Linked DNA regions of Xenopus tropicalis. The main gene of each other region encodes a partner of the protein of the gene in region 3 in a complex. Links are inferred from orthologs where the notes say so. Each region holds a gene or a part of one and is shown on either strand. Other genes may lie near its edges.

The links.
Region 1: smarca5 (region 3) and rsf1 share a complex: the UniProt entries of both Homo sapiens proteins name them as parts of the RSF-5 ISWI chromatin-remodeling complex. The link is inferred for Xenopus tropicalis from reciprocal best matches to the Homo sapiens genes SMARCA5 and RSF1.
Region 2: smarca5 (region 3) and dek share a complex: the UniProt entries of both Homo sapiens proteins name them as parts of the B-WICH complex. The link is inferred for Xenopus tropicalis from reciprocal best matches to the Homo sapiens genes SMARCA5 and DEK.

Annotation. Positions count from the first base shown.
Region 1 is NC_030678.2:168,868,685-168,873,491, forward strand, and holds part of rsf1 (remodeling and spacing factor 1), read right to left. Parts: coding exon 4,369-4,807; intron 3,277-4,368; coding exon 3,067-3,276; intron 2,700-3,066; coding exon 2,595-2,699; intron 2,194-2,594; coding exon 2,114-2,193; intron 1,126-2,113; coding exon 1,071-1,125; intron 984-1,070; coding exon 877-983; intron 711-876; coding exon 637-710; intron 103-636; coding exon 43-102; intron 1-42. UniProt on the Homo sapiens protein: Regulatory subunit of the ATP-dependent RSF-1 and RSF-5 ISWI chromatin-remodeling complexes, which form ordered nucleosome arrays on chromatin and facilitate access to DNA during DNA-templated processes such as DNA replication, transcription, and repair.
Region 2 is NC_030682.2:93,528,166-93,532,972, forward strand, and holds part of dek (protein DEK), read right to left. Parts: intron 2,984-4,807; 5' UTR 2,975-2,983; coding exon 2,809-2,974; intron 523-2,808; coding exon 424-522; intron 1-423. UniProt on the Homo sapiens protein: Involved in chromatin organization.
Region 3 is NC_030677.2:59,223,623-59,229,210, forward strand, and holds part of smarca5 (SWI/SNF-related matrix-associated actin-dependent regulator of chromatin subfamily A member 5), read right to left. Parts: intron 5,435-5,588; coding exon 5,302-5,434; intron 4,033-5,301; coding exon 3,884-4,032; intron 3,693-3,883; coding exon 3,573-3,692; intron 3,314-3,572; coding exon 3,203-3,313; intron 2,683-3,202; coding exon 2,569-2,682; intron 1,953-2,568; coding exon 1,830-1,952; intron 1,612-1,829; coding exon 1,479-1,611; intron 1,216-1,478; coding exon 1,097-1,215; intron 519-1,096; coding exon 306-518; intron 1-305. UniProt on the Homo sapiens protein: ATPase that possesses intrinsic ATP-dependent nucleosome-remodeling activity.

The DNA of each region.
Region 1 (4,807 bases), on a different chromosome or scaffold from region 3:
AAATGCTTATTAATATAATAATAAGGATTCCAAGCGTGTTACCCTGATGCTTTGTGTTATCACAGTCCATACGTGCGGTATGTGTGCTAATGTGCAACAGTCCTATGCAGGGAAGATTAAAGGGGTTGTTCAATTTTGAGTCAAATTTAGTATGATGTAGACAGTAATATTCTAATAAAATCTGCAATTGGTCTTCATTTTTTATTATTTGTATTTTTTTTTATTATTTCATTTTTTGCTCAGTATCTCTCCAGTTTGCCATTTCAGCAGTTATCTGGTTGATAGGGTTTAAGTTACCTTAGCAACCAGGGAGTGGTATAAATTAAAGACTGGTATATCATCATTAGAAAACCTGAATAGAAAAATAAGTCATAAAAAGTAACAATAGCAATAAAATTAGAGCCTCACAGAGCAAACAGAGCAATAGTTTTTCAGCTTCCGGGGTCAGTAACTCCCATTTGAAAGAGTCAGAAGGAGGCAAATAATTCAAAAACTACAAAAAATACAGATTAATTGAAAAGTTGCTTAGAATTGGTCCTTCTATAACATTAAAAGTTAACGTTAAGGTGAGCCACCCCTTTAAGTTACCATGCTTTCTCACTCTAAATGTAACTAGAAGGGAGAAAAGGAATCTACCTCCACCCCCTCCATCTGCATCTCTGATATCATCTTCTATTGCTTCATCGATTGCTTCATCGAATTCATCAAACCTAAGACAAGTTGTCAGTAAATGGAAACATTAAGTGAAAGGAAAATTCAATTAACATACAATCAAAATACTATATCCAAATCCAAGATACATTTCATCTAACTCATATCTAAACCACAGCTGTGCCACGGCAGCCAAAGCCTACATAATAACAATAAAAGTCCAACCTGTAGCTTATGAACTTTCTTGCTCTTGTGGACCGTCTTTCCAATGACTTTGGTTTCTTTTTCTTCTTTTCTTCTTTTTCCTGTACCTCCGGCACCTCCTCTTGTTCCTAATGCAACATTTCAATATCAGTTCTCAGTGTTCTATCCCAAATCATGTGCCAGTTAGTGATAAGATATGGAGATGAAAAGCTTACTTGAGTTGGGATGATGTTCTCGAGGCTGATTCCAACGTAAACTAACCGTTCTTTCCTACAATGAAAACAATACATACGGGTAATTATACGTTTTGATTGTTATGACAAACTACCAAATCACAGTATGAATATTCAAACTATGGCCTTCAGGTTGGAGTTCCTCAGACGGCCAGATATGAATTGCAGTTTAGAGATCCCAGCCTACAAAAACACTCAGCTCTTGCAAAAATGACTAGTGTCAGGCTAATGTTACATAGCAACAGTCTGGCCAGTATTTGCAAGATCAAGTGCAAGTTCATATGTCTCTTCATTTGTAAGCAAAACAGTCACATTAATACTTATAATATACTTGCTATTGGATGAATGCTATCAATTTAAAGGATAAGTAAACTTTTTTTTAATCTTTAAAATTACTCCAACATACCTTTCTCCCTGGATGCAGATTTATTTAGTTGCTCTATTACAGCCAGTTCAGCTGCAGCTTTTGCTGACTTTGTTGGCTAGTGTAAAGCGCTGTCCCCTTTTTCTTTCTGAGCCCTTTTCTCCAATTATGAAGACCTCAAAGAGTTGCCTACTGGACATGCTCACTGCCTCTGCTCCAATTAAAATCAATCAGGCATGCGCAGTAGTCACCTCTGATATTTTCATAGTCGGAGAGATAAATCTGAATGCAGGGAAAAGTAAAAGGTTTACTTATTCTTTATGGCCATTTTGCTGACCGTTCTCTGGCATTAATGATGTCAGACCATGCTCTCTGCATTTTGCTTTCTTGTAAAGGAAAGTTGGACATTGAGGAATGTGGCCTATTTGCTTTCTAGTAAAGGGACAGCAACAAAGTAAGGAGCATATGGGTTGGATAAGGAGGTTTGGGTCAGACTCAAGGTTAAAAATGTATGCTGAGTCAATAGCAATTGCATAAAAGCTATGGAAAACAAAGGATACTGAAAATTGGAAAGCAAATGCATTTTACAGTCTTTAAGAGGTAACTGATGCAACTCGCAATAGCAGCAACAGTGGCAATGTTAGGAAGTGCAATTAAATACCTCCTCTCTGCTCGCTCCTTCTTCTTCAGAACCACATCTAAATTCTGTAACTGCTCATCCAGTTTTTCACACAGTAGCTTCTGTTTATAAATAAGGGAAAGGTATATTAATCAGCAAAATTACTTATCACTTATTTTTGCTTCCGGTAATAAGTGTTTATGCCTTGATACCTATTTACTGAGCCTTAACTAAAAAATGAAAATGAAAAAGATGCTATATGACCCATCTGATGTGAGAATGCTCCCATTGAAATCCTTGGAAAAGGCTAACGCTTAGTATCTCAAATACATGAGCTACAATACATTGGGGCAGATAAAGAGTTGGATAGGCGCTATGTAGTAGAGAAGAAATAGGAATAGGAATAGAGGAATAGGAACACAGTAGTCTAGTATAGTAGTTTATAGTAGAGCGTCAATAGTATCTATATTAGTTCCAAACAATAATTGTATACGGATACTAAAATGTGCAACTGGAATCATACATGTTGGCATGGAGGGCAGAACCATTCTCCGTCTGGAATCAACATCAGGGGTGGCCTAAGGCAAGCCGTATGGTATCCACTGTCACAGGAGTCACACAACAAAATCTGAATGAAAAAACAATACGGGTAAATTATTAACAGTTCAGCATCCCTTGTTAACACAGTTTAAAATGCTGCAGAATAAATAAGGAATTTCCTACTGAATTGTGCTTAGTACAGAGGAATCCCTATGCTGCCATAGTTTTTTGGTATCTCACTGTACAGGCTATGAGCAAACTTAGGGGGCTGTTCCTGCTGAATTGTGCTTAGTACAGGGGAATCCCTATGCTGCCCTTCTATTATCTCTATCACATACATACAAAGGGTTTATTAAAAAAAAATAGTTTTGAATCTGTAGCAGGAAACTAGTATTTTTCTAGTGATGGAGCAGATTTATAAGTTGTGGTACGTTTGCAATATATTTAGTACTAACCAATTCTGGGTGGTTGGGGAGGCCACACTTCTTGCAAGGCTCATCATCTTCACCGGGGGCACCATCTTCCTTATTCTCTTCATCTTCTGAATCCCCCTCTGAATCCTCCTCACTGTCAGACTCCTCACTTTCATCCTCACTGGAAGATTTGCGTCTCCGCCGCGACCGAGAGTTTGTCCAACGCGCTCGCCTCCTCTGCCTTGGTTTATTCTGATTCAAGGTGAGAAATACACATACATTAGCTGGAACAGAAAGCTGCTCTTAATAATAATATGGCCCTGGTCCTTTACAGCCAGAAGCTTTATTAGCTGTGCTCTCTAGGAAACTTATGAAGGAAGAAAAGAGAATGTAAAAGGAAACACAGACAGGATTGGTCCCAGAGAATTATCCACAGCCCTGCACTGCCTCAATCTATTTCAATAAAAACCCACATATTTGAATTGCAATGACCCCTGTAAAATTTCATATTTTTTAGTCTACACGTTAAAGATTTTGATGTTCTGATGAGAAAACACTAGGACAGCTCCCACTGAAAAACACCAGTAATAAGATAAATCTGGCTCCATGGTCCATATATTTGACTAAATATATTGTGAATAATGTAATGCCTATTGTAAAATATAAAGCTATTATAAGATACTAAGAAGTTTCATGACCCTATAAATGTACACGTCATGGAAATCCAAGGTGGCTTCTAATATCCTCATATTTTATAACAAGGGGTACATTATTTGTTACAATATGCAAGTTTTCACTGAGTAATGTGACAGAAATTACATTCTATCATGATTTTTATGGGGTACTTTTATTTCTAAATTTCACTGTTACACAGCAAATAATTCACTCTGCCATTTAACATTTCATTCTTCAACCAATAAATGAATTTTTTAGCTGTAATATTGGTGTGTAGGCGCCATCTCAGTACATTGTGCCTGAGTCTGAGCTTTCAGCCAGCGCTACACATTAGAACTGCTTTCAGCTAACCTATTGTTTCTCCTACTCCCATGTAACTGGAGGAGTCCCAAGCCGGACTTGGATTTCTTACTATTGAGTGCTATTCTGATACCTACTGGGAGCTGCTATCTTGCTCCCTTCCCATTGTTCTGCTGATTGGCTACTGGGAGTAAGTATATTAATAATTATATTATTTACATGATATTTTGTATTATAATAAAATAGCTGTAACCCCCAGCTTATATATAAATATTTTTCCTACAGTTCTGGTCAAAATGCCCAACGTGCCACAGCCGTAAGTAGGCAAGGCCCATGACATTACTGGACACAAATCTTACAAACAAGCACCTTTTTTATTTTTTGGCTTGAGTCTTTATCAGTCTTTCTCTCGTCATCTTTCTCTGTTCTCTGAGAAGCAGGCTTGTCTTCCTCGTCGCTTTGTTTCTTTTCTGCCTTTCGATCTTTGACTTCAGCAGCTGGCTTCACCGAAGGGCGGGAAATTCGAGGGGAACGCCTCAATGTGCGACCGATACTTTCCTCAGCCTCCTCTGAAATTTCAGGCTGTGCCTCCGGTACCTCATGTCTCCTATTCTTACTGGCCACCCGGATAGTCCGAATTGTCAACTTTATTCCCTCTTTATGCCTCTCTGATGTTGTTTCCTGACCTTCTGTCTCACTGCTCTCATCCACTGGGTCATGCTTATATCTAGATCTACTCTTTGAAGCCGGTTTCTCTGTATTTGAGACCTTCTCCTCTTCCTCCACCGGAGTTTTACCTGCTTGCTTT
Region 2 (4,807 bases), on a different chromosome or scaffold from region 3:
TTTGACTTGGATCAAACAGATTAAAGATGGACTGGATGAGATGAAAACCAGATCCCCTCCCTTCCAGAGATCTAATTATTTATTTGACTCTCAAAATAAGATACTGGTACATATAAGGGAATGGCATATTTTGGGTATTTTGAACACTTCATTTTAAAGGTAAAGCAAACAGGGCTAAGGAAAGCAAAACACTTAAATCAGCATTTATGACTATTGTCTGAAAGCACTTGAATGAGCAACTCATTTATACAGAGTAAAAAACAGAGCAAAGACGGTATTTGAAATACAGTAATCAGAAAGAGAGCCCTAAAAACCTATCTAGTAGTTTTTATTTCAAAAATAAACATTATAGTTTTTAGATCTGACAAGGTTGCAAATCAATTTCATAGGTAGAACTTACTTTTGAACAAGTAAAAACATTACCTTCAGTCAGAACAAACTCCTTTTTAGATATATTCATCTCGAGGCTTAGTCTTTCCACCTTTTTCTTCTCCCTTTTCCCTTCTACAATTAAGCTTTTCTCTGCAAAAAAAAGATCTCACACAATTTAGGATGAGTATTAATATTATTTGTATATTTGTATAGTCATAACTTCACACAGCTGAAGGTGCATCATACTGATCAATAAAGAATTTTGAAACATGCTTTGAGAAAAGTTACGGTAATAAAACACACACATCTTCCAATATTTTACTAAATAAATACAAAGTGAGAATAAAATCATTTCATATTCATCAATATAAACCTGTGTATACCTTTTCCAAGGAACTCTTGAAAAGAAACAAGAATACTCCAGGGTCACATAAAAATACCATACTAATACTAACTAGGGCTTTTAACATTTTGCTCAAGTGTTAACTATATACATTATTCTCAAGACTTAAGTTGGGATACACCTGCTTGTTTGGAGAGGTTGGTGGATGAGTAAATATTTACCCAATTTGGCTACAATGTGCTGGCCCAAATCAGGATGATCAGTTGGCCACTGTGCCAACAATCAAATCATAATGAAGGACTAGGGAGGGCTGTCAGGAGAGAAATTTATTTAATGAATTAATGTGGTCCTCATACAACAGGATTTTCTAATTTGCTACATATTAATTGTGCATTGTATGCCTAATAATTTGCCAACTCTCAGTGATGACCTTCCACGTTTGAACGAAAGTATGTTGAATGTTACATTGTAGTGCTCATGACCACAGTTTTTTTTTTACATTATTTACTTTTTTCTGTGTAATACAGTATCTTGCACTAGATATTAACTAAGCTGCATGAATTCATATTTGTGGCAAAACAAAGCTATTGGTTGGTTTAAAGGAACGTAAACACCAAAAAATACAAGTGTAATTAATATATTATGTACTGTTGCCTTGGACTGGTAAAAGTTGTGTTAGCTTCAGAAATAATACTACAGTTTATGTAAACAAAGCTGCAATGTAGCCATGGGCATAGCTATTCATATAGAAATAGGGCTAAATGGCACATTTTACATAGCAGAAAACAGATAAGCTCTGTAAAAGACCATTGTATTCTAAAAAGTTCATCTGTTATCTGCTATGTAACCTGCACCTTTTAACCTTTATTCCAGCTGAAATGGCTGCCCCCGTGGCTACACAGCAGCTTATTTCCATAAACTATAGTTGCCTTCTAAAGCAAACACTCCAGTTTTATCAGCACACAGCAGCAATATATTATATTTTACTTACTTTAAACCACTTTAATGTTTATGCTGCTGAAACAGAAGAACAACAGTCGCCTGGGATAAATCACCTCTATTGCAGGCGACTAATCTTCTACAAATGCCCTTCCACCAGCAAGTAAATCGCCAGTGGGAAAAAATATGGGGTGCTTTTCAAAGTCACCTAAAGTTTCTTCACAAAGGAAAAAATGGCAGCAAATGTTTTCCCACAAGTAATTTAATTTATTATATAATTTTTATTTATTGCTGGCAACTAATCTCCCTGTGTGCCAGCAGCCTTAAATTTTTATTTAGTTATAATGATCCAAATTACAGAAACCTCTTGTCCAGAAAACCCAAGTTCCCAAGCATAGATCCAACTAGATCCTACAATACTAGATCATATACCAACTTTTCGTTGTCTTTCCATAGTCTATTTCTCAAAGTTGAGTATGCGATTAGATAGTGCCCTAGTATGAGTTTGTCTCTGTAACAGTTTTAGCATGTATATCTTTCTAAGCTTCAAAAACCAACACTAACAACTATAAACATATGTACCACACAAAGACATGAAATTCATGTGTTCCTCTCCCAGTGGGTCCACAGTATGATCCAGTTGACTGGATCAGCCTGATTTTGCTTGTCTGTGGAGAAATCAGGCAAAGATCCACACATTTGCCAACCTAACCAAACATGCAGATGGTAGAGACTAATTTACATATTTACTTATTGCTCAGTTATTTCCATGTAATACATCACTAGGGCTGTGATGACAATCCTTTGTGTGGGTCTCAGTAAATATCTCAGCATATCCAACTTTTAATGAGGCGGGTGTTGGTATGTTTGAGGGAGTGAGGTGTAAAGATGTACAGCTAGGGTAACAGACCTCAACTATTCCATTTTTATTTAACAATTATATTTCCTTACTTCAAACAAGTATATTTAATACTAGTTCAATATAAGCAGTAGAAGAGAACCAGAATTTAGAATGCATTATATAAAAACATACACTGGTATCAATACTTCCTGCTGTACAAGTCTTCAAATTTTCACAGGCTTTTTTCAGAAGTTGGTTGGAGAGATGAGCGTTCTATACATTTACATATAAAGCTATAAAACACTATAGATACCCTTTTTATCATCATCATCTTCCTCCTCATCATCTTCCTCCTCTTCTTCTTCTTCATCTTCCTCTTTTCCATTTTCTGCATCGTCAGTCATTTTTTCTTCGGTAGCCTCTTCAATTTGTTCAGATTCCTCTTTAGTGAGTGCATTGGATTCAGTGTCAGAAGACATGTTTCTTTCCTGAAGAAAAAACATCAAGGCATAATCAAAACCTACATAATTTCTAACTGTATGCTGGAGATTTGCACTAAAGCTCATATGTTTCAAACTGGTTTACTTAAAAAGGCAAACAGGCAATAGCTAATAAATTAACTTCAGCAATTTTGTATCTATACAGGAAATGTGGGAGATGTAACCATGGGGCAGGTGTCCAACTTTTTTTTACCCATGAACCACATTCAAAGTAAAAAGATCTGGGGAGCAACACAAGCATAGTAAAATTCCTGGGGTACCAAATAAGGGATGTGATTGTCATATTGGGGCTACCAGATAGCCAATCTATAGGAGGCTCTGTTTGGCAGCTGTTTTTTATTAAACCAAAACTTGCCTGCTTAGAGGCCACTTGGAGCAACATCCAAGGGGTTGGTAGGCAACACTTTGCTGCCAAGCCACTGGTTGGGGATCACTGCTGGTTAGGTCATATATAGTAGCCTAAGTACTAGCTTCAAACATTTTTAAAAAGCGTAGTGCTAACATAAAGAATACATTATTAATCTACAACAATACAAATAAATCCAATGATAAGATGTAGGCTCTTTCATCTCTGCAAAGGACAGGCTTATCCACTACATGTAACAGTATAAATGTTATGTTTCAAACTTCCTGGTTCTTGCAATTTATAATAAACAAATAGACAAAATGCATTATAATTAATCCAATAGACAGAATACATTTTCAGCATGTTATTTTTCTGTATATATTCTTCTATGTTATGATAATAAAAATGATATCAAGTAGCAAAATCATCTTTTTATATTGCATACTATAAGGAGATGTTATGAATGATCATACTAATTAATACATTAGCATATAATGATTAGAGCATAATATGAGCGCTTGATGCAAGAGGACAGACACAAGGGAAATTATGAATGTAAATAAGTCTGCTGTTCAGCTTTCAGAAACCCCACAGGATTTCAGAAGCTCTTGTGGTTTACTTTCTCTTACGAAATCCATTAAAATAATAATACTGTATGTAGTATCTTGCAAACACCTGTCTTACTGTACTGGTAATCTGACAAATAGATAACTAGTCACAGACACACTGCCTTTTAAAATCTGGTTCAATTTCCATGGAAGGGGACTAAAAACATAAATCCTGCCCACAAGTTCTTAAGCTGGCATTACACAGCCAAATCTGCTCAGTAGGCAAGGTTGCTAAACAAGCGATCTGGGCCCAGTTTAGCCACCCACAATCATACAGCGAGGGCCTATGTAGGCCTGTTGCAAGAGGACTGCATTAACACACCATAGCAGTCCTAGCTCAAAGGGATTTTAAAATTTGCCTGATAGATATCTGGCAAACTCGGTCTGAAGGAGTTGAATTGGCATATTAAATCTACCCATGTCTGGCCAGCTTAAGTCCTGCCAAGTGCTGCTTATTGTTTGAAAATGCATTTTTTAGAGATAAGAATTTTTCACGTAACTGGACAGGCCCCCTTGCATGAGATTCCCAGTTTAAAATGTTTTACTCCCCTCCCACAGAACTATTAAAAATAAGTTTAAAACCATGGTTTGTCATCACCCTAAAGATAATGTGGCATCTGTCATCACTCTTGAAATATCCAATATCTATCTGCAGCATACAAAATGTATTGGCTACAAGCAGTTAGGAAATGTCACCTGTCTCTAAGTGTATATGCAAAACAGGGGGATGGGGATTGTAATAATCTGAACTAATAAAAAGATATAAATGGTCACATTGCAACTACATGGAAAGTTACAAAACTGTTGGCAAGGTACAAAAACTGTAAAAAAAAAAATGTATTTGTAAATAATAATCAC
Region 3 (5,588 bases):
TGTCACTGCCAGCTATACATCCAGATGGGATTTTGCCGGGGCTGCAACCAGCTGCAGGGCAGGCAAATATTCACCTCCTACAGGTCACAGAACCAGGATATTAACACCCAAACCGTACTGGTTGATGCCACATGTCAAGCTTTGTAAGCTGATGCACTGACAGTACTAATTCTATTCAGTACTAATTTTTTCTCAATGAGAAAAAATATAGTGGAAGTAACATTTTAAAATAAAAAAAAAACCAAAAAAACAGATTAAATCCAAATTTATTGTATTTCCTGAAGAAATCGAAAGCTAAGACTCACCATTGCTGTTCTTGATTTTAAGAACCAGTCAAATCTGAACTGGGGAGAGTTCCGTATACACTGCCGCAGTTCATCATACACATTTTCCTTATCAAAACCTAGCTTGTGTAACATGCAAATGAGAAAACGATCCTCTTCCTCAGTGTAGTTTTTTCCTTTGTTTGTACCATACGAAATCCTCAGTTGGTGGAAAGGTGCTTTGTATCTTCCAATCTAAAAAAATTAAGTGACATTAGTCTAAACGTAATTGTGTAGCGTAAAATTTGCAATAAGGAGTTCCATTCTAATTTTACAAATACATTTAGGAAGCAAGAGGGTCATGGTTAGTCCTGTATAAAGGGCAGCCACCAAGGGGCAAAGGGTCCCAGCGAAACAGCATACAGATACTGGACCTTTATCCAGTATCCTGAAAGTTCTAAGGTGGACCTCAAACCCACTCCCAATTCAGCAAAATCCAACAGCTGAGATTTTACCAGATGTAGGACCAGGTTGAAATCGGGCAGTGCTGATGATTTCCACATAGAGCAGTCAGCTGCCATCTAAAGATTTATCTGCAGCAGTGAGAGCAAGTAAAGTGAAGGGGGACTAAAACTGCATAGAATTTGTTTTCATAAAATCGGTACAGATTTTCTTCTTCAAAGCCACACGAGTTTCTAATAGCAGGCCTGCATGTAAATAACTCTGTACCTTAGTGTGTGTGTGTGTGGATCTACTGGCAGGGTTTAATGTGCACAGCAATTTAAGCAAAAAATAAAGCGTCAGTCTAAACTGTGTGCAAATACCAATGGTACCTTTGTGTCTAGAGCTTTCTTTATGCTAATCCTCCTCTGTATCCTCGCTTCTCCCCTTTCTATTTGAGCCATTATCTTCTCGATATCTTGAAGCTCATTGCACCTTTCCCAGAAGACCGCTAAATGAAAAAAATTAAATTGTTACTTGGAACAATAAAAAGAAACTACAGGCTTCTGAGTACAGAGTTATAGGTAGCAATATGACTTTATAGGTCTCATAGCAAATACTTGCCCAGGAGCCTGAGAATAAATAAATAAAAAGTATGTGAAAGCAGAAGCTAAATGCATATTAAGCTTAGGAAGGTCTTCCAGTGAATATCCACAATACTGTACTAGTTTATTTAGCAATTAAAAACATTTGTGTCTACAATGAAAGGATTACCTGAATACTCAATGACTTCCTCTGGTGTCTTGCCTTCCACTTCCCGCGCAATATTTTCAATATCATCACGACCCCATTTCTCATTAGCCTTAATAAACTGGTTGAAATCTCTCTTATTCCAGTTTGTGAAACCCTGAAAGTCATGAGAGGAAAACATACATAACTCTTCCAGAATCTGAACATGCTTGAATGTACGTCTACAGGCAACAGAACTGTACAGGCTAAAAACAACAAGCTTTTTGGTCTCAAACCCTACATACACCATCTACCTTATCAACGCTAATCAAACTTTCATCCTGTCCATATTAAAAATGCAGTTTCTCTTCAAAGCACTGTACTGTTTCTTCCTACCTGAGTTAACAATTTCTCTTTCTCCTCTAACTCTTCATCATTGAGGGGCTCTGCCTCATCAATTTTTAGTTGTTCTTCCTTTTGTGCTTGTGCTGCATTTGGCAGATCAGGATTACGTGGTACCTAAAATAAGCAAGAAAAAATAATTGTCATATCAATATGCATAAAACAGCAAGTGGTTTGAGCAGATGGCAAAATTAATTTCTCTGGCATTTCAAAAAACATTTTCTGATTTAGGAATAATGGGGGTAAAGCAAATCATCTACAAACTGAAAGTGCATGGAATGTATCTTGTTTTGCAATCTGGCATCCCTGCATAACTCTGAATTGCATATTGACTTCCTTTGCCAATTGTCTTCTCTTTGTTTTTGTAATCAAGCAAACCACCTTATTGAGCTCCTGCAAATTCACTATATATCAAATGAGAAATGTTTCTATAATTCATTATCATTGCCTGTTGGGAAGGACTATCCTACATGCAAGAGAAAGTAGGTATGCTGGAGGTCGTTTCACCCAAACATGCGTAAGAGAAGGCTAGGCCTGAAGCAGATATGCATTGGTTTACAAAACATTTATTTTGTGTGCCGCAATACAAGTAATGTGTGCACAATGGAACCTGCATACTACCAACCAAACACTACAATAACAGCTATGGCTTTAGCTGCAGAGAAAAGACTTAATAGGAACCTTGCAAAACAAATTGGCACTTATCACATTTAATTTAGAAATGAGAACTTACCTTGTAGCCAATTGTTTTCCTGTAATAGAGAATTTCTTTTTCCAATAACTCAAATAGACGTGGAGGGAAAAACTGAAAATCTTGAACATTTGGCTGTTTTGGGGGTCTGGGAGCCTATAAGACATAATATTATTTACATGACATAAGCTGCACAGTAAGGGAACCAACATTTTTCTTTTCAAGCTCATGTCTCCACTATACAGATAATTACATATAGAGATGGAAACTAGAATGAGCTTCTGTAGTTTATATGGCAGACAATTCTTTACATCAGCAAGGAGCAGCTTAGCATGAACTTTTCTAATTAGCGCAATATTTCACACCTCTAGAGATGCGTTTAAAGATCTAAATCTTGTAACATTAGTAACCATCATCTACCCCTGCAGCAAATATCTGCATTACTTTAAGCAGTATATTTTCAACTTACCCTCCCATCCCAAGGTCTCACAGACTTATGACAAATACAACTCATGTACTTGAAACAGCAATACCATATATGACAATGCTGAATCAATTACCCCCAAATACAGCTTTGGACTTTTGTAGCCCTACCCAAAAATACCATTTCCAGATCTAAAGTAATTAGTGATCCCTCTCACTGCATCCAGTACTGCTGTAGCACTCAGCTACTCACCTTTGGTACTTTTGGCTCGCTAACACGGAGTGCTTCGCGGAAATACGCATCTACCGCGTAATTAGCTTTTCGTTCCCTTTTCGGTGGTTCAATCCACTCTGTAAATGCCATCTATAAGTTAATATCAGAAAGAAAGTTAGGATTCCCATAATGCTTAACTTGAATAGTTTTTAACTTTTTTAAAATCATGGAAATTTTTATGGTACTCAAGGAGTAATTTTAATTATCTTTGTAGTTAATTGTTTATCATACTTTATACAATCTTAGCATCTTTAGATAACACCCATATTTTCTGAAGCTCATATTAAGCAAGAAGCCAATTATAGAAGCCCGTAAGACTAAATACACACCTATGGAAAATATGACTCACCTTTTGCTTTTCTCTGTAATCTTCACCTTCAAAGTTATAAACACTGGATTCATTATCCACCGTGAAGTTTCTAAGGGAACTTTCACCCATGTTTGAGAGTTTCTCATTCATTTCTGCAGTCTTAAAGGAAAAAAAGAAAATGCAAAAAAAGTAATGGAATAATGTATACTGTTGCATAACAACTCAAAAATGCTAACATCTGGTGTGCCAATGGTATCCTATTGCTAGCATATATTACAATATCCTGGGTAACAGTTTGTTCAGAGAGATTCTGTATGTCTCTTCAGTGTTAAAGGCCTATAAAAATGTACCTTCTTCTCCCCTCTCTCCAAGATTGCATTAATGTCTTCCTCTGTGATTTCACTATCCTTTGATGCAAATACATGAGTAGCACCATGTCGAATCATTTGAAGCATTTCGTCCTTCCCTAATTTATTTAGGTTTTGGTCCACTAATCTACCTGAAATATATGGAAAAAGGTTAGTCAGTAAAACATTAAGCAAAAAAAAAAAAAAAAAAACCCCACACCATTGATACAACCATAAAAATATCTGGAGTCATTCCTGTGAATGACTCAAATATCTAGACCAGTGTTGTCCAATTTCTGTGGTACAAAGGGCCGATAATGGAAGTCAGTTTTGACCACCCCCCCCCTTTTTTTTTTTTTTTTTTTTAAAACCACAAACACTTCCAACCACACCCATCACAAGAGCTTCTAACAGTAAGGGTGTTAGTGCAGCAAAAACCCAAATGATGTAGGGATATCACCCTTCATTCATATGTGAAAGAATTATAATATTTACGACACACCCTTAAATCCATATGCCTCCTCCTCACCTGTGGATAGCACAGCATCCCCCAGTATAAAATTACACATCTTAGGGACCATATATTACTATTTCCAAATGCTAACAAACTTCCAGAATAAACCCCTGCCAGGTTTACCTCTAACAGGCAGCATAGGGTAGGCAGAGTAAGGCACACACAGGCAGCATAAGGCAGGCAGAGTATGGCACATGCAGGCAGCATAGGGTAGGCAGAGTAAGGCACACGCAGGCAGCATAGGGCAGGCAGAGTATGGCGCACACACACACAGGCAGAGTACAGCCTGTGTGTGCCATACTCTGCCTGCCCTACTCTGCCTATACGTACCATACTCTTGTGCTGTAACCTAATGGCAACTAGTGATTAGCTTTGTTCAGGTAGCTGCAAGTTATGAAAACAAAAATTTGGTTGGTTGCTATGGGTGACTGCATAGGTGCAAATGTGTCCAGTGTCTGTAAATTAGCCCCTCTGCCATACAAACATACAACCTGAAATGTACTCTCAGTTTAAACAAAAATAGAATATAACCCCTAAACATGAAAAGCCTATACTAGCTGTACCAAGCTCTATAGCACATTCATTCTCTACGTGAGGAAATGTATATTTTTTTCAACATGATGGCTCAAGACTATTCTAGCCTTACCAAATGGTTAGCCCTGGCAGAAATTTGCTCCCCCTCCCTTTCCCAGCACAGTTCACCCACATGGCTAGAGAATGCCTACTTAAATATAACAACATTTGTGGCAAGTGACCACATAATCCTACCAAATGAGCCATGGAAACACAAATATTCTACGAGTATGGGACTATATATCCAAAAAGCTCAGGACCTACAATTTTACTGATAATTATTGTCAAAAGACCCCTTAATACAATTGACACAAGTAGCTTCTTTTAGACATACCTTGCTGAATAACTATTGAATCTAAGCGCAGTTTCATTTCAGCACGTTCCACAATACGCTCTTCAACTGTATTATCCGTTATGTATCTGAACACACGAACAGTTTTAGTTTGCCCAATTCTGTGTGCTCTATCCTAAAGATACAAAGTAACATGTGCATGAGACATTGCTGAATGCAGAGACACAGCTACCAAGTCTATATGAGCATTTTTTTTCAGTGCCACAGTAGTAGTAGCAGCTTTGATTGAAGCCACTTTGCAGCAATGGATGGGGAGAAAAAGTTATGGG